3 linked regions of the Elephas maximus indicus genome follow. The protein of the gene in region 1 interacts with the protein of each later gene in a biochemical or structural test. Links are inferred from orthologs where the notes say so. Each region holds a gene or a part of one and is shown on either strand. Other genes may lie near its edges.

The links.
Region 2: the proteins of DOK1 (region 1) and FGR form a complex in vitro, tested with the Homo sapiens proteins (2 studies listed by BioGRID, with this or other methods). The link is inferred for Elephas maximus indicus from reciprocal best matches to the Homo sapiens genes DOK1 and FGR.
Region 3: of the proteins of DOK1 (region 1) and TEC, one has a biochemical effect on the other in vitro, tested with the Homo sapiens proteins (2 studies listed by BioGRID, with this or other methods). The link is inferred for Elephas maximus indicus from reciprocal best matches to the Homo sapiens genes DOK1 and TEC.

The regions. Positions count from the first base shown.
Region 1 is NC_064835.1:61,284,060-61,291,135, reverse strand, and holds the start of DOK1 (docking protein 1), read left to right. Parts: upstream 1-3,976; 5' UTR 3,977-4,059; intron 4,060-4,226; 5' UTR 4,227-4,259; coding exon 4,260-4,319; intron 4,320-4,671; coding exon 4,672-4,971; intron 4,972-5,097; coding exon 5,098-5,191; intron 5,192-5,406; coding exon 5,407-5,591; coding exon of another isoform or gene 5,592-5,598; intron 5,599-5,816; coding exon 5,817-6,626; 3' UTR 6,627-7,076. Other genes in the region: LOXL3 (lysyl oxidase homolog 3), read right to left, coding at 1-28, 1,641-1,932. UniProt on the Homo sapiens protein: DOK proteins are enzymatically inert adaptor or scaffolding proteins. They provide a docking platform for the assembly of multimolecular signaling complexes. DOK1 appears to be a negative regulator of the insulin signaling pathway.
Region 2 is NC_064821.1:67,976,624-67,984,315, forward strand, and holds the start of FGR (tyrosine-protein kinase Fgr), read right to left. Parts: upstream 3,063-7,692; 5' UTR 3,007-3,062; coding exon of another isoform or gene 2,858-3,006; intron 2,316-2,857; coding exon of another isoform or gene 2,164-2,315; intron 1-2,163. Other genes in the region: uncharacterized protein LOC126071286, read left to right, coding at 2,164-2,315, 2,858-3,006. UniProt on the Homo sapiens protein: Non-receptor tyrosine-protein kinase that transmits signals from cell surface receptors devoid of kinase activity and contributes to the regulation of immune responses, including neutrophil, monocyte, macrophage and mast cell functions, cytoskeleton remodeling in response to extracellular stimuli, phagocytosis, cell adhesion and migration.
Region 3 is NC_064823.1:110,948,760-110,956,313, forward strand, and holds the start of TEC (tyrosine-protein kinase Tec), read left to right. Parts: upstream 1-4,532; 5' UTR 4,533-4,635; intron 4,636-7,554.

The sequences.
Region 1 (7,076 bases):
CAGCTCAGGTTGTCCAGCCAGATGCGGCCTGTGGAGGCAGAGATGGAGGGACAGAAAGGCTTGGAGAGGTAGAATGGGGTGTGATGGGGCTGGTGGGAGGGATGAGCATTGGGGCTTCACATCTGGCCATGATGAGTTCACTTTTCTGGGAAGATAATGGGTGGGGAAGGAACAGGAGTCTGTGGAGGGAGAAGGGGGGATTGATGGAGGGAGCCCCAAGAATTTAGTAGGGCAAATAAACAGGAATCGATACGGACGTTCTGATCAGTTCTTACACATTCAATGATAGCTACAATTGTGCCAAGCACTTTGCCAGGGTCTGTACCTATGTTGTCATCTTGGAACAGTGCTGCCTGGAAGATATTATCACTGTTTTATATAAACAAACTGGGCTTCAGAGAAGTTGAGTAACCTGCATAAGACCACACAGCCACACAGCCGTGAGGAGGCTTAGGAGTTTGGGCCCAGTCTGTGAGACCTGGAAACCAAAGATCCTTTCACCTCACTCACACATTTTCTCATGTGGCTGCCCTGCCTGTGTTGCCGTGATGCCACTTGGTGTTCTCCCTGCCTGAACCACACTGAATATCATTAACTTCTTCTCTGAATTGGGTGGAGCCTCACAGGCCTTGTGTCCCAGCCAATGTGCAGGGACCCCCTCATGCATTCCGTAACAGGGCTTACCCAGCTTCTACTGGGACATCTACCTCCACCAGGTCACTGTAACCATCAGAAAGTCCTTGTGATTCTATAAGACTTTCCTCTGTCAGTCTGATTCAGTCCTTTGATGCCATCCAGAAAAAGTCTTCAGTCACATGACTGACCCTACTATATTTAAAGATGACCATCATGTAATTGCCATCTAAGGCTTTTTCTTTCCAGATTAAAGATGGCTGGTTTCTCCAGCTATGCTTCCTTATAACTTGGCTTTTGAATCTCTGACATCTGGGTAGTTCTTCTCTGACAGTGTTTCCGTTTTCTAGCGTCTCTGAAAAATCTGACATCTATGAGTAGACACTTTATTTCAGAAGTGGTCTAGCCAGTGGGGATTGGGGGATTGGGTCAGGTTGCACCAACTCTGTCCATCAGTCCTACTGTGGTCTCAGACAGTGCAAGCACTCCCAGGCCTCAGTCAGAATTGCTCTTAATCCCCTACCAACCACACTTAGACTTGTCCTAGGCATTTTACTTGTCCTTACTCAGTTCCAGTTTGTGCGTTTCAGCTGTCGCCTGTAACTGGATTTTATCAGCAGCAGTATCTGGGATCCCTTCTGGCTTTGGGACACTCAGACATCATTTACCTGCTCTCAGCCTCCCATGGAGCAAGCTGTACTTGAATTGCCCTTGTGCATGGCTTTGTAGAATCACACCCTTTTGCAAAACAAAGGAACTTATAGATCATCTAGTCATTTTTACACATGGGGCATGTGAGACTCAGACAAAGCAACTGATCAGCCTAAGGTCGCACAGCTCTGGTGAGTGACTGTGTTGGCTGGGTGTCACTCATGGGTTTTCTTGACTCCAGCTCTTCTTGGTGTCCTGTGTCCCTGTGGTTGTGTCATTCTGGTGCTCCTCTCCCTGCACTTAGGTGTCATTTAGGCAGTCAGGGTACCTGGCTCTTCCTGGGGGGCATTGCTCACCTGTTCCAGCACCGTATTTGGCACTGTGGGTCCAGCCTGTAGCCTCTGTGAAGCCCAGCTCCCGGCAGAGGACGTGGGCAGCCTGCAGTGTGAAGTCGTCATCACAGATGGTGCCCCATTCGCCAGCACGCTGTATCTCCACACGACCCTCGTAGGGCTTCCTGGGGAAGCCAGCCAGCCGGAACCGCAGCCCCTGGTTTCCGTCTGGGGATGGAGACCCCAGACAGGAGCCACACAGCAGGCACAGCAGCAGCCCCCACGTACTCTGTTTCCAGACACTGACAGGTTGCATGGCAGGGAAGGCCTGGGTGCCCCAGGGAGAGGAATGTGAGAGAGAAGCTGAGGTTAAGACCAGAGTCCAAGTGAGATATCACGAAAGAAAGACACCGAGACATACCAGAGAGAGATAGAGAGACAGTGAGAGAGAAGGACACTAAATAAGACAGAAATATATTAAACAAGGGCAGAGACACAAAGTCAAACAGGTAAGGGATGAAAGACCCAGGCCCACACTGGGGAGAGGAGGAGAAAGAGGGGGATGATGAGGAGAGGTATATGCTCTCCCCACCGTTTTGTAAATATTGAAACCCTCACCATCAGCTGTTATGTCCCACAACATCCTTCCCTAGTTCTGCCATCATCATCTCCATTACCCCTACTCCCCAGCCCGAGAGACCCAGAGACTGAAAGACAGTAATTAGAGACCAAGAGTCAGAGAATGGTCAAAACAAAGAGATAAAGAGATGGAGACTGCGCAAGAACACACAGAGAGGAAGACCCAGACAGACAGGATGTGAGAGGAAGGGAGAGTGTGGGAGTGAAAGGGAGACCAATGGAAAGAGACTGCAGGAGAGACAGACACAGTGAAGACAGTTAGAAGGTGACAGGGAGAATGCTAGGCACACAGAATTAAGGTGCCAGAGAGAAAGCTGCAGGCAACAGGTGAGGGGGAGAGGGATGGACAGGAGTCAAGGAGCAGATGTGGGAGGGACCCTGATGACTCCATTCAGCCAGTCAGAGGGACTGACAGCTCCACTGATTGCGCTGAGAGGCAGGCAAGGAGGACCCAGAAGACCCTCAGATCTCTGGTTCCTCCAACAGGAGTGGAGCCCAGAGTACCAGATGCCAGAGGCAAGGAAGGCAGACACTAGACCACAAGGAGTACCCGCTGTACACCTTTCCCACCACGCAGGCTCTCAGATGCAGGGCAGGGTCAAGAGGCCCAGGAGGGCCGGGCCTCAAGCTGGGCAGGGGGATGGGGTGGGGTTCTTGGAGCCGCCTTTGCTGTCACCGAGCAACGGGAGGCAATGCTCTGATCTGATAGGAAGCCAAGGCCCTCTCTTGGTCTGGGGCTCACAACAGCCCCTCCACAGTGAGGGGCCCACTGAAACATGCTTCCCCCAACCCAGATAAACAACCCAACAAGACATCTTTGTTCTGAGAATATTTTGGCTTGGGGGCACCGGGCTGAGGCCTCGCAGACAAGCCCCTAGCCTCAAGGTCCTCCCGACTGCCCCATCTGGGACACCCTACACGACCCCTGCCTCCCCATTTCTCCACTCTTCTAGTGTCTCACTCCTTTTTGACAATAATAAAACCCTCAGTTGGTTGGCTTCCCCTCGACTCCATCCTTTTTCCCTGGTCCCTCCACCGTCCTCTCCATCCCTAATAACCCTGTTCCTCCTCTGGCAGGCTAGCCTGACTCCCCTACCTTTGGCTGAGCAGGGATCTAGGGGCTGGTTGAAGAGTCTTGGTCCCGGAGATCAGTCCTAGGATAAAAAAAAAAGTGTTCGGACAGGGGAGACCGGACCCCCCCCCCCCATTCGTCCCTCCTACATCCCCTTGAGCCCTCCCACATTCCGCCTTCTCCCTGGATTCCTCCCTAGCCAGTTCCCTCCTTTTCTCTTCTCGGTCCTCCCCTCCCGGGTGGAGCTGGCCGCAGCCGCGCCCCCTCCCCCCCACGCCCTCCCGGCCCGCTCAATGAGGCTTTCTTTTCCCGCAGGTTGGAGGCCGGACAGCTGCGGTCGGGTAGCTGGACACGCAAGAGGCCGCGGGGCCGCCTACAGGCCCGGGCGGCAGCCCCCGTGGCGGCGGGAGGCCGCTGGGCTCGGGGTTCCGGGAAGCCTTCCAGCCCCCAGCCCTTCCCCCACGCCCCCGGCTCGCGGAGGGTAAACACTGCGACTCCGGCCGGGCTGGGGGCGGGCCGGGCGAGGGGAACTGAGGCCATGAGGGCCCACGTGGCCCCTCTGGGGCCCCAGGGTGCCCGTAGGCGCTCTCGGGGTGATGTCACGGCCTTCACTCTGATGTCACGCAGGGCATAAGACGTCACACGCAGCCCCCTTCCCAGGCGCCGGGGCTGTCTGGCCGAAACCCGAAGTTTTCTCTCTGCGGAGCCACTTGTGCGCGCCCCACGGCCGTGGTAAGGGCCCGGAGGTGGTGCGGCCGCCCAGCTTATCTGGGGACCCCGGTCTTTCTTGCACCTCTCCCTCCCCCCTGTCGCGGCCCGCGGGGGCAGGGAAGGGCGGGAACGCCTCTGACGAGTCCGGCCCCGCCTGCGACCCGCCCCGTCCCGCCTCCCGCCCGCAGTGCCAGGAAGCGCCGAAGGGACCGCCGGGGGCCATGGACGGGGCTGAGATGGAAGGGCCGCTCTTTTTACAGAGTCAGCGCTTCGGGACCAAGGTAGTGGGGTCCAGGGGCTGCCGATCCCCTTCAGAGCAGGGGGTGGGCGGAAGGGCCCAGAAAGCAGGAGGGAGCGGGCGCGGGTTGGAGCGCGGCGCCGGGAGCTGGAGAGCCCGGTGATGGTCCCGCGAAGTCGCTCTGCACACTCCAGAGAAGCGTCGGGGTACGTCCTCCTTGTTCTTGGGGAGACGGAGCGGCGTCGTCCTTGGGAGACTTTGCCCCGGGTCGGGAAGCCCCAGACGCCAAATCAGCCTGAGACGCCAAATCAGTCTGAGCCCGTTCAGCCGCCGCGGTAGGGGCCCGGGCAGCCCGCGCTCGCCCCGCACCTTCCCCATCGTGTCTCTCTCCTTAGAGGTGGAGGAAGACCTGGGCTGTGCTCTACCCTGCCAGCCCCAACGGCGTGGCCCGGCTCGAGTTCTTTGACCACAAGGGGTCGGGCTCAGGGGGTGGCCGCGGGGGCTCGCGCCGCCTGGATTGCAAGGTGATCCGCCTGGCAGAGTGTGTCAGCGTGGTCCCCGTGGCCGTGGAGAGCCCCCCTGAGCCCGGCGCCGCAGCCTTCCGCCTGGACACAGCGCAGCGCTCCCACCTGTTGGCCGCGGACGCGCGGTCCAGTGCCGCCTGGGTGCAGACGCTGTGCCGAAATGCCTTTCCGGTGAGGAGGTCGGGGAGTGCGATCGAGGGGCTGGGGCGAAGCGGGGATGCATCCGGCTGGCTCAGACCCTGGGAGCCACGCTGGGAGATTATGGGGTCCTCTACACTCCCTCTCTCTTTACGACAGAAAGGCAGCTGGGCTCAGGCGCCTGCCGAAAACCCACCCAAACTTTCTGCCTTGGAGATGCTGGAGAACTCGCTTTATAGCCCCACTTGGGAAGGTAGAAACCCCAAGAAGTCCGGGCAGGGATGGAGTGGGGAGGAGGAGTGCCCTTGGGAAGGGAGTGATTAGAGGGTTCATGGACCCATAGGGAAGGGAAGATTTGGCTTCCAAGTGAGTGCCAGGACACTCTGCTTCTGACTCCTTCCGGGTCCTCATTCCTTCACCCTAGTCCCCAGTAACTCTTTTAAGCATCTAATCTAGTGTTCCTTTCAGGATCTCAGTTCTGGGTGACCGTGCAGAGGACTGAGGCTGCTGAACGCTGTGGCCTGCATGGCTCCTACATGCTGAGGACAGAGGCTGAGAGGCTGACTCTTCTGGCCATGGGCACCCAGAGTCAGAAACTGGAGCCCCTCCTTTACTGGCCCTACACTCTGTTGCGTCGTTATGGCCGTGACAAGGTGGGGGGTGAGGACCGTCAGGGACGGCTGTCAGAGAGGGCTTGCTGGGTTGGGCAGTTGTTGGTGGGGTGGGACAGGACAGGAAGGTGGGAAGCTCTGCTCTCTGGGACCCCCCTTCTTGGCCTACCCTGTGACCCCCGCTCCCCAGATGGTATCTTCAGATTCCCTACCTAGTTCAGCCCTGTGACTCACCTCCTCTGATGCTTCCCTCTATACCACCTTCAGGTTATGTTCTCTTTTGAGGCCGGCCGCCGTTGCCCGTCTGGCCCCGGAACCTTCACCTTCCAGACGGCACAGGGAAATGACATCTTTCAGGCAGTTGAGACAGCCATCCGTCAGCAGAAGGCCCAGGCAAAGGCTGGTCAGGGGCATGATGTCCTGAGAACTGACTCCCATGAAGAAGTGGCAGAAGGGAAGCTGGCTCCTCCTTGTGGCCCTCAGGAGCTCCTGTGCAGCCCCCCATCCCTGTATGCTGAACCGCTAGACTCCCTGCGCATCCCTCCAGGCCCTTCCCAGGACTCCCTATATTCAGACCCCCTGGACAGCACCCGTGCTCGGGCAGGAGACGGGGCGCAGTTGAAGAAACCTCTCTACTGGGACTTGTATGAGCATGTACAGCAGAAGTTGCAGAAGGCCAACCTGAAGGACCCCAAAGAAGACCCCATCTATGACGAACCTGAGGGCCTGGCCCCAGCCCCTTCCCGAGGCCTTTATGACCTGCCTCAAGAGCCCAAGGATGCATGGTGGTGCCAGGCTCGGGTGAAGGAGGAGGGCTACGAGCTCCCCTACAACCCAGCCACTGATGACTATGCTGTGCCCCCCCCTCGGAGCGCAAAGCCTCTCCTAGCTCCCAAGCCCCAAGGCCTGGTCTTCCTTGAACCTAGTACTGAAACTGGCAGTGGCAGCAAAGGCCACAACTCAGGCACTGCCTTGTATAGTCAGGTCCAGAAGAATGGGGCCTCGGGGAGCTGGGACTGTGGGCTCTCCAGAGCAGAGACCAGTAGGACTGGAGTCCAGTCAGAGGACTCCATATGAGAGTAAGGCCTGGCTGGCAGAGCTAATAGGAAGACTATGGGGAGATGGCACTGGGGATGAACAAAACCTGTGAGAACTAGAGGGAAGCAGGGCACAGGGGGCTCCTGTGTGAGACCAGGGTCTCAGAGGGATTAGGGTTGTTGAGGGAAGGATGACCAATTCCAACAAGTCCTAGGAAGTAGAACAGATGGCAGGAACTGAGGGATGGGATCTGGGGAGGGCCAGCACCCCTAAACCCTCCACCTCCCAAAGGAATGGACAACTGCTGGACTACATCTATAGAAAGGGGTGTACGATGAGAACAGGTGCAGTTTGAGGGGCCTGTATGGAGACTCTAGGGAAATGCTGAACTGTGCCTGGTTCTAACCCCTCCCCTCCATTGCCCTGCCAGAGATATATTTTAAAAAAAATTTTATTCTCATTAAAGCCAGTTTGGGTTTAAGAGGTCTA
Region 2 (7,692 bases), on another chromosome or scaffold:
TTCTCCTCTCTGAGATGCCGTCTCTTTGCTTATAAAATAGTAATACAAATCTCTTCCTCATGGGGTTGCTTCTGAGCATTTGATGAGGTCAAGCACCTCAAAGCACCAGAGACACATTAGATGGTCAATTAACTTTCACTTCCCCTCCTTTCCCTTGAGGAAGCCCCCTCTAAAGCAGGGAGTAGGTGGAGGCCCAGGGGCAGGGCTGGGCAGGGCTGAGAGAAGGAGAAGTTCCCTGGGTGAAGTGGGGAGGGCTGAGCTGGCCCTGATGCCTGGGGGATTTCACCAAAAGGGAACTGGGACTTGGGGCAGCCACAGGAAACCACTGGCCTGCAAGAGTTCCGGCTTCTCCTCAAGACCCTGGGCTGGTCAGGAGGCAGGCCAGGGCTGGAGGGGCAAGGGGGTGAACAAGTCTAAAGTCTGCAGGCCACCTCAGCCCCCTGCACCCCACCCCTTACCAAGACCTGGATCCCCTGATCGAAGATTCTCCCTACTTCACCCTCAGAGCTCTCACTGAACCCAAGTGCCCTACTGAGCCCCATCCCCCTCACTGAAGCCTCTCATTGGGCCTCCATCCCCCTCACTAAACACCAGCCTTTCTAGAAGCCTCACAACCTCCTGCCCTTGAATGCCTGGGGCCTAAGGAGAAATGCCCCACTCTGACTCTACTGCTCTGGTGGGGCTAGGGGCCAGGTGTGCACTGCAGGGTGTGGGGAGGGATGAGATGGCCTATCTGCCTTGCCAGATTTACCCTCCACTTGGTCCTGAAGGTACCAGCTGAGTTTTCTTCACTTTTTGTGGGTAAAAGTGGTTTCCCATCTGTTGCTGAACACTCACCAGCTTCTAAAACACAGTCTTCAGTCCCACCTTGCTTGGGACGCAGGGCTCACAGGAGATGGGAGTCAAGGATGTCCAGGGGGAGCTGGGGGATTGGAGTCTAGATTCTCTGGCAAGGCCAGACAGGAAGTGCTGCACTAATCCTGGGGAGCTACCCTGCCCTTTCCCACCTGAGGCCAGCCCAGTCTCTTCTTACACAAAGGGCCCTGGCTCCTTCTTCCCCTGCTCTGCTCCCCACTCCAGCCTCCCAGGGTCTGGCCACTTCCTGTCCCACGTTGGCCCCAGGTGGGTGCACAGAACACCTAAGCACCCACATATAAGTTTACATGCTCTTGCTCACTCCCTCAGAGCCCAGATCATACAAACACTCACACACTTTCGCTCGCAGCTTCACACCCACTGGGGAGCAGGAGTGAACCATAAAGTCCATTATTCCCACACCGTCTTCTACCTACTCTCCTTCCTCCACCCACTCCCCCTCCTCCATGTGCTCCCTACCCCACATTCTCTTCTCCAGAGGGCTAGGTGGGACTTGGGAGGAAGGAGGTGAGGACTCATACCTTAGCTCTAGCTACTTTGTCACATCAGGGACAAGATGCCCTGGAGTCCAGGTCCCTACTGCTGGCCCTGTCAGTCATTGCCTCCTGAACCTCTATCTCCCCACCTGTGAAATGGAAAGACAGCCCTGCCCCCCCACCCACCAGCACAGAGAGATGCCAACGGCCTCAGGATACCCAAGGGACTACGCGCCTGAGGGGGTGGCCAACTGGATATGGCGCCACGGGGATGGGGGACATGTCTCAAACCTGCTGACCTCCCCAGTGTGGGCCCTCCAAAGATCCACAGACATTTATTTATTAGACATCAGTGCTGGTCCCTGGAAGCCCTGTCAGTGGGACACACTCAGGCTTTCTGGTTCCTTTCCTTGCTTTTGAGAAGGCAAAGGAGAGGCTCGCTGGGTCAGATAACCCTTAATCCGTCAGCACAAACTATTTTCTGCACCTGATTTTCATGACTGGGGAGAGGGATGGGCAGGGCAAATTTCTCCATATTGTTCAGATGAGGAAAGTGAGGTCCAGAGAAGCCGCATAACTTGCTTAAAGTCACGTGGTTAAATGCACAGTCTGACTAAGAACCCAGGTCTCTGAGACTGCAGATCCTTGCCCCAGGATCCCCGAACACTGAGCCTCATCATCTCACCCCCCTGTCGGGAAGTCAGCGCCCCACTGAGGACCCAGAAGCCGGGAGGGGGACCGAAAAGGCTTCGCCAGCCAGGGGCCCAACGCTCGCCAAGGGCGGGGCTCGGCCTCACCGTCCGGCGTTGCCATGGAGACAACGCCTCCAGGCAATCGCGGTCAAAGGCAGGATTTCCGTCGGGGCGGCCAGCAATTCCTGGATCCCGAGGGGAAAGCGGACCGAGACTGCCACCGGGGGCGGGGGGGAGGAGGCACCCAGAGAGGCTGGTCCCTGCTGAGAGCGTGACTTCCCCAGGAAGCGGGGACTCGCGCCTCTAGCGCCTTCAGGAATCCCCTCGCGGTGCCGAGCCCGCCCACCAGTGCCCGGCGCAAGGGTCTCGGGGGCGCTCCTGGTCGCCTTCCCTCCCCTCCTGGCTGTAAGCTTCACCCCTGGCTTCTGTCGATTCGGAGTATGGGTATCTACTAGGCTCCCGTAGTGATTCTCCTTGAGCCCCTTCGGCAAATTCCCTCACTTGATTCACCCAGTCCCCCAACCTAGTTCCCCTCTCCAGAACCCTCAGATTCTCCCCAAATTCTCACTCTCAAGGTCCCCTCAGCTTCTCTCCCAGACCCTTTTGGGGGTCCCCTTAGTCCCTCTCCCTGACTCAGCTCCCTTCCTAAATTCTATCAATCTCACTCTGCAGGTTCCCTCTCTCTTGCCCACCAGATCTTTTTGGGGATCCCCTTCATTCGCTTTCCCGAAAGCCCTTCAGCTCCGTCCAAAATTTCATCAATCTCACTCTCTAGGTCTCCTCTTTTCGGGGTGGGGCCCCTTTGGCCCCCAGCTCCCTCAGCCCTCCTCCCACGTCCTCCCAGGCCCCTGTCTCCAGCCCCTTGTCCCATCTGAAGCCCCCGCATACCTGGTCCAGGGGAAGCCGGTTCTGGCGACCCCCGGGCAAGCCACCTGGCGCTTCCAGCAGTGCCGAGTGCCGACGTGGGAGAGAACTGGGGTGCCGCCGTCTCTGACCGCCGCCCCCTCTGGGCAGAAGGAGGAAGCCGCTTGAGACTTCTCTTATTGCTGCGGTGGCCGGCGGCGGGGAGGCTGTGGAGGCTAGAACTCACAGTCACGCCCCCACCCCAGCCTGCTGCCCGCATCAGGGAGGGGCCCTCAAATCCCAGACCCGCCGGCCCCCACCGCCGGCCTCCTCCGGGTTACCAGGGTCGGCTCTCCCAGCCCTATCCCGGCACCCCAGTATCCCCAAAGCCCTGAACAGCCTTCCCAAAGGCCTCCTCCAAGGAGCAGGTTCCTCACCCCCAGAAACACCTGCTCTCCTAGAATCAATGGATTTGAGGTAAGGGCTTTTATCTATTCCTGAAGACCACTTCCCACTCTGCCCTTTTTACAGCTGGGAAAGCTGAGGCCCAGATGGCCTTAGCCAAGTTTTCACAGCCAGTTGACCTCAGGCTGTTGTCACCAGATCCGCTTCAGATCCCATCTTGATGCCTTATCTTCCTCAGGAGGCAGTCTCTGGGGCAGGGATGTAGGCAGGCAGGAGAAGCCAGAGACCCTTCCCTTAGGAAACTGCTTTTGAGAGGAACCTGCCCTCAGGCCACACTGGAGGGAGAGAGAGCCCCTTTCTCCCAAGTCTTAAAAAAAAAAAAGGAAGATGATCCTTCTTTTCCAACTGATAGGGATCCCTGATTCCTTCTCAGTCTGGGGTTCAGTCTCACCTCCCACTACTGTTGCTTCTTCAGGCTTAATCCAAAGACCAGGAAAATCACTTCTTCCCTGGAGAGGAAGAGGTGCATGAGGGAGGGCTGCTTGGTGAAGTGTGTGTTGATATGTGGTGGGGAGGCAGGGAGGGTGGAGAGCACAGGGTAACTGTGTGTGTGTGTGTGATTGTAGGAAATTGTCTTAGTTATCTAGCACGGCTACAACAGATTTACCACAAGCAGATGGTTTTAACAAAGAGAAATTTATTCTCTCACCATCTAGGAGACTAGAAGTCTGAATTCAGGGTGCCAGCTCCAGAGGAAGGCTTCAGCTCTTGGGCAAAGGTTCTTGTCATCAATCTTTCCCTGGTGTAGGAGCTTTTCAGCGCAGGGATCCCGGGTCCAAGGGACACAAGCTCCTGGCTCCTCTTGCTTAGTAGCAACGAGGTCCTCATGTCTCTCTGCTCAGCTTCTTTTTTATATCTCAAAAGAGCTTGGTTTAAAACACAATCTAATCTTGTAGATTGAGTCCTGCCTCATTAACATAACTGCTGATAATCCCACCTCGCTAACATCATAGAAGTAGGATCTACAACACATAGGAAAATCACATCAGATGACAAAATGGTGGACAGCCACACAATACTGGGTATCATGGACTAGCCAAGTTGACACACATTTTTTGGGGGGAACACAATTCAGTCCATAACAGCAATGAACATGATGACTGCATTTTTGGAACCAACAACTGGGATGTGTTATGCACACCCAGGTGTTCCTATGCCTGAGCAGGGCCTCTATGTGTGGCAGGGAGGGGGATTCAGATGTGTACCAGTGTCTGTGGGATGGTAGAGAGCCGTGAGATGCAGGTAAGACTGCTTTTCACTTAGGAAAATGGAGGAGGAGCAGGGAGGAAGACACAGGGGAACCAGTGGAGGTACAGGGGCTTCAGAAGGGTGGTCTCACCGTGGCTGGGGCAGCATCATCTCCACCACCAAGTATCTCCTGCCTGGCCTTTGGTCCACACATTCAATTAACAAACTACCATTTCTCATTGCCTGTCACCTGCAACCTTAGGGAACACACAGATGAAAGAGACCTTTTGGGGAACCTGCAATGATTCTGCTCTGCAGTGTCATTATTCTCACATGTTCTTAGTGAAAGACTGTTTAGAGCAGAGCACAGATCAGACAGTTCTAATGGCTTGCTCGACAGGCCTTTATGACTTACAGAATAAACAGGACAGGGATGAGTAGAATGGCACACGTCATCATCAGCCTAGTTTCCCTGAAGTTAGGCTCCTGTCTACAGGATTAGATCACATTCAGCCGTGCCCCAGTTCACATCTCGGGAGGAGAATGCCTCAGTTCCTCTCTCCCAGGGTTAAATACTAATCGGCCAGCCATGTCTGTGTACCAGATAGCAGTTACAGAGAGCAGGTAGGGAGGGGGCAATTAAAGTGTGTGTGGTGGAGGGAAGGGTAATAAAAGTTAAAAGGTGATAATACAAGTGGAGGGCCGCCTGCAGGCAATGAACACCATTTTTTGCCCTGGTTGAGTCCTGGTGGCTCAGTGGTTAAGAGCTTGGCTGCTAACCAAATGGTCAGTAGTTCGAATCCACCAGCCGCTCCTTGGAAACCTCATGGGACAGTTCTACTCTGTCCTATAGGGTCTCAATGAGTCAGAAACGACCAGATAGATGGCAACACGTTGAGGCTATTCTAGATTTACTGGTGACAAAGAACATCCCTTCCTCCTTTGCCCCAGTAAGATAGAGCTCTGGGTTTCTCCAGAGGGCAATCATCTCCCCATAAAGCACACACTTTACTTCACGTCCATTAATAGCTATTATGTCCATTAGCAGCTAGAGAGATGGTGAAAGAGATATAGCATACCTGTGCAGCCAGTAAGCTCACTGTGTCATCCTTCTAGGCCCGGCTCACAGGCACTTCCTCAGGAGGCCCTCCCTGATTGCTGCCCCCATCCCCAGCAGAGCACTCAACACCTTCTGCCTGGTGCACTAGTAGTTCCTGGGGTATGGGTTTGGGGGGATGTGTTTTGCTTAAGGGTCGGGACTGGGTCTGGCTCTTGTCAGTGCCCCTGGTGCCCACACAGGGCTTGGTGCACAGCAGCAGGCCCTCTGAGCATAGGAATGTATGAATCATTTAAAGAACAAAGGAATTCACAGGTCAACAAGTGAATGCCTGATGAAAGAATAAGGAGTTGAAGGCATGAATTAAAGAATGAGCGAATAAATTTAAGAAGCAATGAATAGTCGAATGGAAGAACAAAATTGCTTCTGTTTTTGAATGTATAAATTAGACCACGTTAGTTGCTTGCTTAAAACTCTCAATGGCTGATTTCCTATTTGCTTGGAATAATAAAAATAAAGCATTAGAAAAAATGATAAAATCTGAACTCCTTGCCATGGCCTCCTAGACCCTACATACCTGGCTGCTACCCACCTCTCCATTCTCATATGGGACCATCTTCCTCTTCAGCCCCCTTGGAATCATTTTCAGTTCCTAGAGTACATTGAATTCTTGCCTTAGGGCCTTCTCACGTGCTGTTCCCTCATTTTCTTTGCTCTTCACAGTAGTGGCTCCTTTCTATCCTTCACCTGAAGTGCCACCTCCTCAGTGAAGCCTTCCCTGGCCACCCCATATAAGGAACCTGTTACTTAATGCTGCTGTAACAGAAATATCAGAAATGGGTGGGTTTAAGGAACATAAATTTATTTTCTCATAGTTTAGAAGGCTAGAAGTCTGAATTCAGGGCACCAGCTCTAAGGAAAGGCTCGTTCTCTGTGGGCTCTGGGGAAAGATCCTTGTCTCTTCCAGCATTCCTCTGTTTCTTGGTGAAGGTCACCTGGCATCTGTCCTCCCCCGTTTGTGCTTCCTTGTCTCTGTCCTGCTCTATGCTGTTCCTTATAACTCAGAAGTGATCAGGTTTAAGACACATCCTACACTGATATGGCCTCATTAACATAACAAAGAAAACCCTATTCCCATAGGGGTTAGGACTCCAACACATATTTTGGGGGGACACAATTAAATTCATAAGAGAGCCCTCATTCCCCTATTCTTGGTCTCAGCACGTGGTTTGTCTCCTTCATGGCAGTCTGAAATCATGTATTTTTCAGTTTATTGTTTATTGTCTGATGCCCCTGGGGCTAAGCTGCCTCATCCAGTCTCTGGTCCTCCCTTTCCTGGGCCAGGGCTCTGACAGTGACAGGGCGTTCTATGCCTCTCACTCATCCATTCAGAATAACCTAGTGATTAGGAGCATCGAGTCTGGACCCAGACTGCCTGGTTTGTAGGCCTCTTCCTAGCTTTATGGCCTTGGGCAAGTTATTTCACCTTTTTGTGCCTCAGTTTCCTCATATGTAAAATGGAGATAATAGCAGACCCTACCTCATAGGGGTCCTGGGAGAAACCAGTGAGCTGTTAGGCCAGTGCTTGGCACACATAAGTGGCATGTGAGTGTCTGCTTCCTGGCCAACTGCCTGGAAGAGATCCATATTTATGCCTATTCCCAAGAAAGGTGATCCAACTGAATGTGGAAATTATAGAACAGTATCATTAATATCACATGCAAGCAAAATTTTGCTGAAGATCATTCAAAAATGGCTGCAGCAGTATATCCACAGGGAACTGCCAGAAATTCAGGCTGGATTCAGAAGAGGACGTGGAGCCAGGGATATCATTGCTGATGTCAGATGGATCCTGGTTGAAAGCAGAGAATACCAGAAGGATGTTTACCTGTGTTTTATTGACCATGCAAAGGCATTCGACTGTGTGGATCATAACAAACTGTGGATAACACTGCGAAGAATGGGAATTCCAGAACACTTAATTATGCTCATGAGGAATCTTTACATAGATCAAGAGGCAGTTGTTCGGACAGAACAAGGGGATACTGAGTGGTTTAAAGTCAGGAAGGATGTGCATCAGGGTTGTATTCTTTCA
Region 3 (7,554 bases), on another chromosome or scaffold:
AAGACCAAGGGAGTTGTGGAATGACATCAAGGACATCATACATGAAGAAAGCAAGAGGTCCTTAAAAATACAGGAAAGAATGAAAAGACCAAAATGGATGTCAGAAGAGACTCTGAAACTTGCTCTTGAACTTCAAGTAGCTAAACTAAAAGGAAGAAGTGATGAAGTAAAAGAATTGAATAGAAGATTTCAAACGGTGGCTGGAGAAGACAAAGTAAAGTATTATAATGACATGTGCAAAGAGCTGGAGACAGAAACCCAAAAAGGAAGAACGTGCTCCACATTTCTCAAGCCAAAAGAGATGAAGGAAAAATTCAAGTCTCAACTTGCAATAGTGAAAGATTCTATGGGGAAAATACTAAACGACGCAGGAAGCATCAAAAGAAGATGGAAGGAATACACAGAGTTATTATACCAAAAAGAATTGGTCAACATTCAACCATTTCAAGAGGTAGCATAAGATCAGGAACCAATGGTACTGAAGGAAGAAGTCCAAGCTGCACTGAAGGCATTGGCAAAAAACAAGGCTCCAGGAATTGAGAGAATATCAATTGAGAAGTTTCAACAAATGGATGCAGTGCTGGAAATGCTCACTTGTCTATGCCAAGAAATTTGGAAGACAGCTTCCTGGCCAACCCACTGGAAGAGATCCATATTTATGCCTATTCCCAAGAAAGGTGATCCAACCAAACGCGGAAATTATTGAACAATATCACTGACGTAACACGCAAGAAAATTTAGCTGAAGATCATTCAAAAGTAGCTGCAGCTGTATATTGACAGGGACTTGCCAGAAATTCAGAAGAGGACGTGGAACCAGGGATATCATTGCTGAAAGCAAAGAATACCAGAAAGATGTTTCCTTGTGTTTTATTGACTATGCAGAGGCATTTGACTGTGTGGATCGTAACAAATTATGGATAATATTTCTAAGAATGGGAATTCCAGAACATTTAATTGTGCTCATGAGCAACCTGTACATAGATCAAGAGGCAGTTCTTCAGACAGAACAAGGGGATACTGTGTGGTTTAAAGTCAGGAAAGGCGTGTGTCAGGGTTGCGTATCCTTTCACCATACCTATTCAATCTGTATTCTGACCTAATAATCCAAGAAGCTGGACTATATGAAGAAGAATGGGGCATCAGGATTGGAGGAAGACTCATTAACAACCTGCAATATGCTGATGACACAACCTTGCTTGCTGAAAGTGAAGTGGACTTGAAGCACTTACTGATAAAGATCAAAGACCACAGCCTTCAGTATGGATTGCACCTCAACATAAAGAAAACAAAAATCCTCACAACGCGACCAATAAGCAACATCATGATAAATGGAGAAAAGATTGAGGTTGTCAAGGATTTCATTTTACTTGGGTCCACAATCAACACCCATTGAAGCAGCAGTGAAGAAATCAAAAGACGCAATACATTGGGAAAATCTGCTGCAAAAGACCTATTTAAAGTGTTGAAAAGCTAAGATGTCACCTTGAAGACTACGGTGTGCCTGACTGAAGCCATGATGTTTTCAATCACATCATAGCATGGGAAAGCTGGAGAATGAATAAGGAAGACAGAAGAAGAATTGACGTCTTCAAATTGTGGTGTTGGCAAAGAATATTGAAGATACCATGTACTGCCAAAATGATGAACAAATCTGTCTTGGAAGAAGTACAATCAGAAAGTTCCTTAGAAGCAAGGACTGCGAGACTGCATCTTACATATTTTGGACTTGTCAGGAGAAAGACATTATGCTTGATAAAGTACGGGGTCGATGAAAAAGAGGAAGACCCTTAATGAGATGGATTGACCCAGTGGCTGCAACGATGGGCTCAAGCATAACAAGGATTGTGGTTGTGGTGCGGGACTGGGCAGTGTTTCATTCTGTGGTACATGGGGTTGCTATGAGTCAGAATGGACTCAATGGCATCCAACAACAACAAAAACAACAGTTATGTAACTGTGATTCTCTCTATACACATATACGCGCACACACACACACACATACTATTTTTTGCATACAATTTCAGGTGGCTCATCATCCTCCTGCCCTCCCCTTAAGAATCCTTACCCTTGTTCATCAGTTGAAACAAGTATTTGAATGGGATATGAGGCAGAAGAGTCCAGAGCAAGGGCGAGACAGATCACAAAAGAGAAGTTTTTACTAGGTTCATTCTGAGTACATTATACTGAAGATCTTAACGGACTGAAAGAGGGTTTGGAATCAGAGGATCTTGGTTTAGATCTCTTCCCATCCCCTTTTTTCCTAACTAATTGTATGGCTTTGAGAAAGTCATTCAACCTCTCTGATTCTCAATTTTTTCTTTTGTAAAATGGAATCTCATTAGATTTCTTCACAGGGTTATTGTACAAAGAAGAGATAGTATAGAAAGGCACAAAGTAGTGAGTAAGTACAGTTAAGACCCAAACACACGAGGTATGGTAATTATTATTTGCATTTAACCATTCTCTTAGCTTCATCTCTGGTTTGATTGCCTGTCCTAATATTCAGGTCTCAGCTGCACTGTCACCTCCTCAGAGAAGCCTCTGCCATCATCTCCCTGTCACTTTCAATCCCATCACCCTGCTTCATTTTAGTCAAGACATTTCTCCCATGTGAAACGGTATCATTTTTTGCTTGCTTGTTGATTATTTATTGTCTTTCTCCTCACACTGGAATAAAAGCTCCTTGAGGGCTGACCCTTGTTTTGTATTCCTCAGGCCTGTAACAGCTCTTGGTACATGGTGGACACTCACATTTTTGAGAAGTCAGGGTAGCAATGGCTAAGTGTGTAGACTCCAGCAGAGGACTACCTGGATTTGAATCCCAGCTTCTCAATTTCCTAGTTGGGCTCCCTTAAATACTCCTTCTCCTAAAAAACAAAAACAAAAACCCAAACCCCAAACAAATCTGATGCCCTAGAGTCTATTCCAACTCACGGCAAACTTGTGTGTTACAGAGCAGACCTGCCCCATAGGGTTTTCTTGGCTGCAATCTTTATGGAAGCAGATCACCAAGGCTTTTCTTCTATGGGGTCACTAACCTGTTGCCCTGAAGTGGATTTGGACTCACAGCAACCCTGTAGAACAGCGTAGAACTACCCCATAGAATTTCCAAGGCTGTAATCTTTACAAAGCTTGACTGTCACATCTTTCTCCCAAGGAGTGGCTGGTGTGTTGGACCCTAGCAGCCTAGCTCCTAACCACTGTGCTACCAGGGCTCCTTTATGGTGCCACTAAAAAAGCCACTAGGGGGGCTCAAATCACCAACCTTTCAGTTAGTGAACCATAAAAAAAAAAAAAAAAAACCCATTGCCACAGAGTTGATTCTGACTCATAGAGACCCTATGGGACAGAGTAAACCTATTGCACAGGGTTTCCAAGGAGCAAACTGCCGACCTTTTGGTTAGCAGCCTGAGCTCTCAACCCCTGTGCCACGCTCAGTTAGTAGATGAGCACAAACCATTTGCACCGCCCTGGTACTTTATCTGGAAATCCTGGTGGCGTAGTGGTTAAGTGCTATCGCTGCTTCCAAGAGGTCAGCAGTTCGAATCTGCCAGATGCTCCTTGGAACCTCAATGGGGCAGTTCTACCCTGTCCTATAGGGTCGCTATGAGTCGGAATTGACTGAATGGCAGTGGGTTTGGTTTGGTTTGGTACTTTATCTAGGAAACTTTGGTGTTGTAGTGGTTAAGAGTTCCGCTGTTAACCAAAAGGTGGGCAGTTCAAATCCACTAGGCCCTCCTTGGAAACCCTGTGGGGCAGTTCTACTCTGTCCAGTAGGGTCACTATGAGTCGGAATCAACTTGACAGCAACGGGTTTGGTTTGTGGTTGTTTTTTTTCTTTTTGGTACCTTACCTTAGGCAAGTTATTTAACTTCTGTCTCAGTTTCGCCGTATGCAAAAACAGGGATTCTAACAATATCTACTGTAGAGAATTGCTGAGTTAATATATGTAAAGTACTTACAAGCGCCTGGCACATAGTAAGTTTTATACATATAAATGTTGGTTACTACTCTTCAATGAGTGAATAAAGTAATACATTAATAACAAGCACATGTGACCCTATAAGCGGATCAGATACGCTCCGTTGCCCAGGTTTGAAAGTAAAATGACTTATTCTTTTGGTAAAATCGTTGCTTCGCTCCACTGCACCGGTCCGGCCTGCCACTGCTTTACGGAAAGGAAGGTGCGGTTCCTAATTCCAACAGGGCCTCCAGCCACCTACAGGTGGCATTGCTCGGGGTTCTCCCGGGTCGGGGAAGCCCGAACCCTCGCGCATTGGTTCTCCTAGAATATGAAGCTCAGAACCAGGGAGGTCCAGCGCCGCGCGGTGGAACAAAAGAGACGCACCCGCTGACTTCCGCGACGCCTTGACCGGAAGGCGGTAGCTGAGACCCGGCGTCCGACCTGCCTGACTGGGCGGGGGAGCCTCGAAACCGCCGCTGGCCCTCAGAAGCCCGGCGCCGAGGGCCGCAGTGAGGCGGGGCTAGACCGGCTTTGGGGGCGGGGTGATTTTTAGGGGCGGAGCTATGGGGGCGGGGCCGGCGGGCTCCCGGCTCCGGACGCTCCGACCCGGCGGCTCTGGCTGGACTTAATACCCTGCGGAGCTGGGTGCAGCTGGCGCGCTCCAGACAGGTAAGGGTTCCTTGCGCCAGCCAGGGCGGCCTTAGGCGGGGGGTAGGGTTCTGCAGGACTCCGGGTGGGGAAGGGTCAGGATGGGGACGCCCTCGGCGAGAGGTCACTTTCACATGCCGCAAGACTGACCCTCTTGGAACGGAGGAGGATTTTCTCCCTTCCTGGCCCCGGTGAAGGAGCCCTGTTAGCGCAGTGGTTTAGCACTCCGCCGCTAACCGAAAGATCCACGGTTGGAACTCACCAGCCGCTCTGCGGGAGAAAGACGTGGCAATCTGTTTCCGTAAAGTTTACAGCCTTGGAAACCCTATGGGGCAGTTCTGCCCAGTCCTATAGGGTTGCTGTGAAAGGAATAGACTGGACGGCAACGGGTTTGTTTTTTTTGGTTTGGGCCCCAGCGAGCGCGGACGTGCCGTGTCAGGTGAGGGACCCTGTCGTCCCTTGGTTCAGGAAGAAAGAACAGGTGCGCGCCCCTGCGTGGCCGCGCCTTCCCGGCAGCTGCCGCCTCTCCACCTCCCAGGCACGGGCGCTCGGCTCCCTAAGAGCTCCCGCCCCTTTTCCCCTCGGGTCCCAGGGCCAAGGCCGTCTCGGTAGCATGTTCAGCGTTGGGTTCACTTACCGGCTGTGCAGCAGAGTTGATCCCTCTTCTCAACTTGGATGCGAGCTTGGTCTTCACTGAAAGCCAGCAAAATCGAAGAAGTTCCACAGTTGCACGTGTCAGAGTGCCTCACCCCACCAAGCGCGTCTTTTTTTCTGGGCACTTGTTTTTGAATCTTGAAAAACTGAGCTTAGCGCATCCATGAATTGAAAAAACTAGGGCCTTGACCCTAGTGTGCGCGCGTTCCCGCCTATCCTAAATTTCCTTCTGAGTTATTTACCCCCTATTTTTTTTTTTTTTTATGGAAGAATAATACGTTGCTGGGTACCAGGTTTGGAAACAACCTGATCTAGTGCTATTCTTCAGAAAACTATAATGTTTGATTAGAAAGGTTGATTTCAGTGGTGACTTGGTACAACAGAAAGGCTGGTGGTTAAGTGGATTTGAACGTTGCCCAGCATATTTAAGCATTTTGTGCACATGCCGTGTGTTTTTCCAGTGAGTGCCCGTTTTCCTCAAGAAATTCTGAGAATTTACTCCGTCTTAGAAGATTCTCCCGTAAAGAACTGGGGAGAAAACAATATAAAACAGCGGGTTTCCCAAAACAGTACTGGGGTTTAACAGGCTAGTTTGTGACAGTGGTAGCTCCTTGGCTCACAAAAAATCATATGGAATGCCGTGGTTCATATGGGGGAAAAAGAATATATGTGTTACCTTCTCCTTATTTACTTGAAAGTATTTTTTCAGTTTAGTTACATTTCAGTGCTAAAGAATCTTGTGCTTTCCCTATACTCAAATTAACCTAATCTTATGTTAATAATCTTGATTCTTCCCGTTTGTGGAACTGTATAGGGCAAGTTTTGTAAACACATGCAAATTAGCATTATGCTTTAGTTGACAATACCTTTGCCCCACATAAGCCCTTATACTACAATTTTCAAATCTTTCCAAATAGGAGGGATCCCTGATGATGTAGTGGTTAAGAGCTGGTTAAGAGCTACAGCTACTAATCAAAAGGTCGGCAGTTGGAATCTACCGGGTGCTCCTTAGAAGCCCTGTGGGGGCAGTTCTACTCTGTTCTGTAGGGTAGGTATGAGTCGGAATTGACTCGAAGGAAGTGTGTTTTGGTTTTTTGGTCCCAGATAGGAGACAATATTATGTATAGTCTAGCCTTTTCAATCTGTTTACCTAATTATACTGTATCTAGAAAATCGTCATGTTTCCTCAGCAGCTAGTTCCTCTAGGACAAGGGCTATGTTTTATCAGACTGTGGTGATCAGAGAATGGCTACCTGTGCTCCCTTAAGTTGACCTTTGACAGGGTGGTTGGAGAGGTTGTGGGCAGTATGTGGCCCACTTTTATGCTTGGAGAAGAATTGCTGGTCTCCTTGCCCTGCTTAACTCACCTCCGCCCCCCTGACCCACACCCACACCCCCCCCCACACACCCTAAGAGTATACACACACACACACACACACACACACACACACACTTTGAGTCTCCAACCAACAGGCTGACCGAGTTGGTGCCTCTCCTCTCCACCCCAGCTCTTCTAGTTCTTTGGCTTCTACCCCACTCCACCTGACTCCACCCCTCCTGGGATTCCCACCTCCAGGGAGAATTACCTTATTGCCCAGGGTAGGGAGACTTGGTCACAGACTTGGCAGGGGTGCTAACCTTCACCTGGTGCTGGATCCCCTATGGATCCTTGGTAAATGTCTGCTGATGGCAGTGTCACTTGTTTCAGAGCCCCTAAAATGCTCTTTTCTTGTCCAGTCTGTATGTGCAAAGTGCAGGGGCCTTGGTTGGATTGAGGTTGTAAATTGGGCATTCTAGTCTGATACAGTCTGATAAGAAAGGAGTGAAACTGGCCCCTGGTCACTGGAAATTGTAAAATTACCCGGTACCATATGCTTATGCCTTGAGAATTGCTTTGGGGGAAAAAAAACCCCAGAGGAAAGAGGCTTGATAGTTGCCTCCATCTCCAAATTCTCTTATTGCCTTTTTGTCTCAGTCCTAACTCAACCAGTTCTTTCTTAGATTGGATTATAATTGTTCATTTAAGTGGTCCAACCTAATGGAGAAATGAACAGTGAGTTTAGTAAGTCTGGATTTTTATTTGAGAATTTGAAGTTCTGTTCTACATTTTTCTCTCTTTCTATCAGGATCCATCTACTGTGGTCCTGATCAGAACATATGGTACTGGTAGCCAGACACCATCTAGTTTTCTGGTCTCAGGGTAGAGGAGGGTGTTGTTCATGTGGGTAATTTGTCCTGTAGACCGGTTCCTTCTCTGAATCTTGGGTTTCCTTCTTTTTCTTTTGC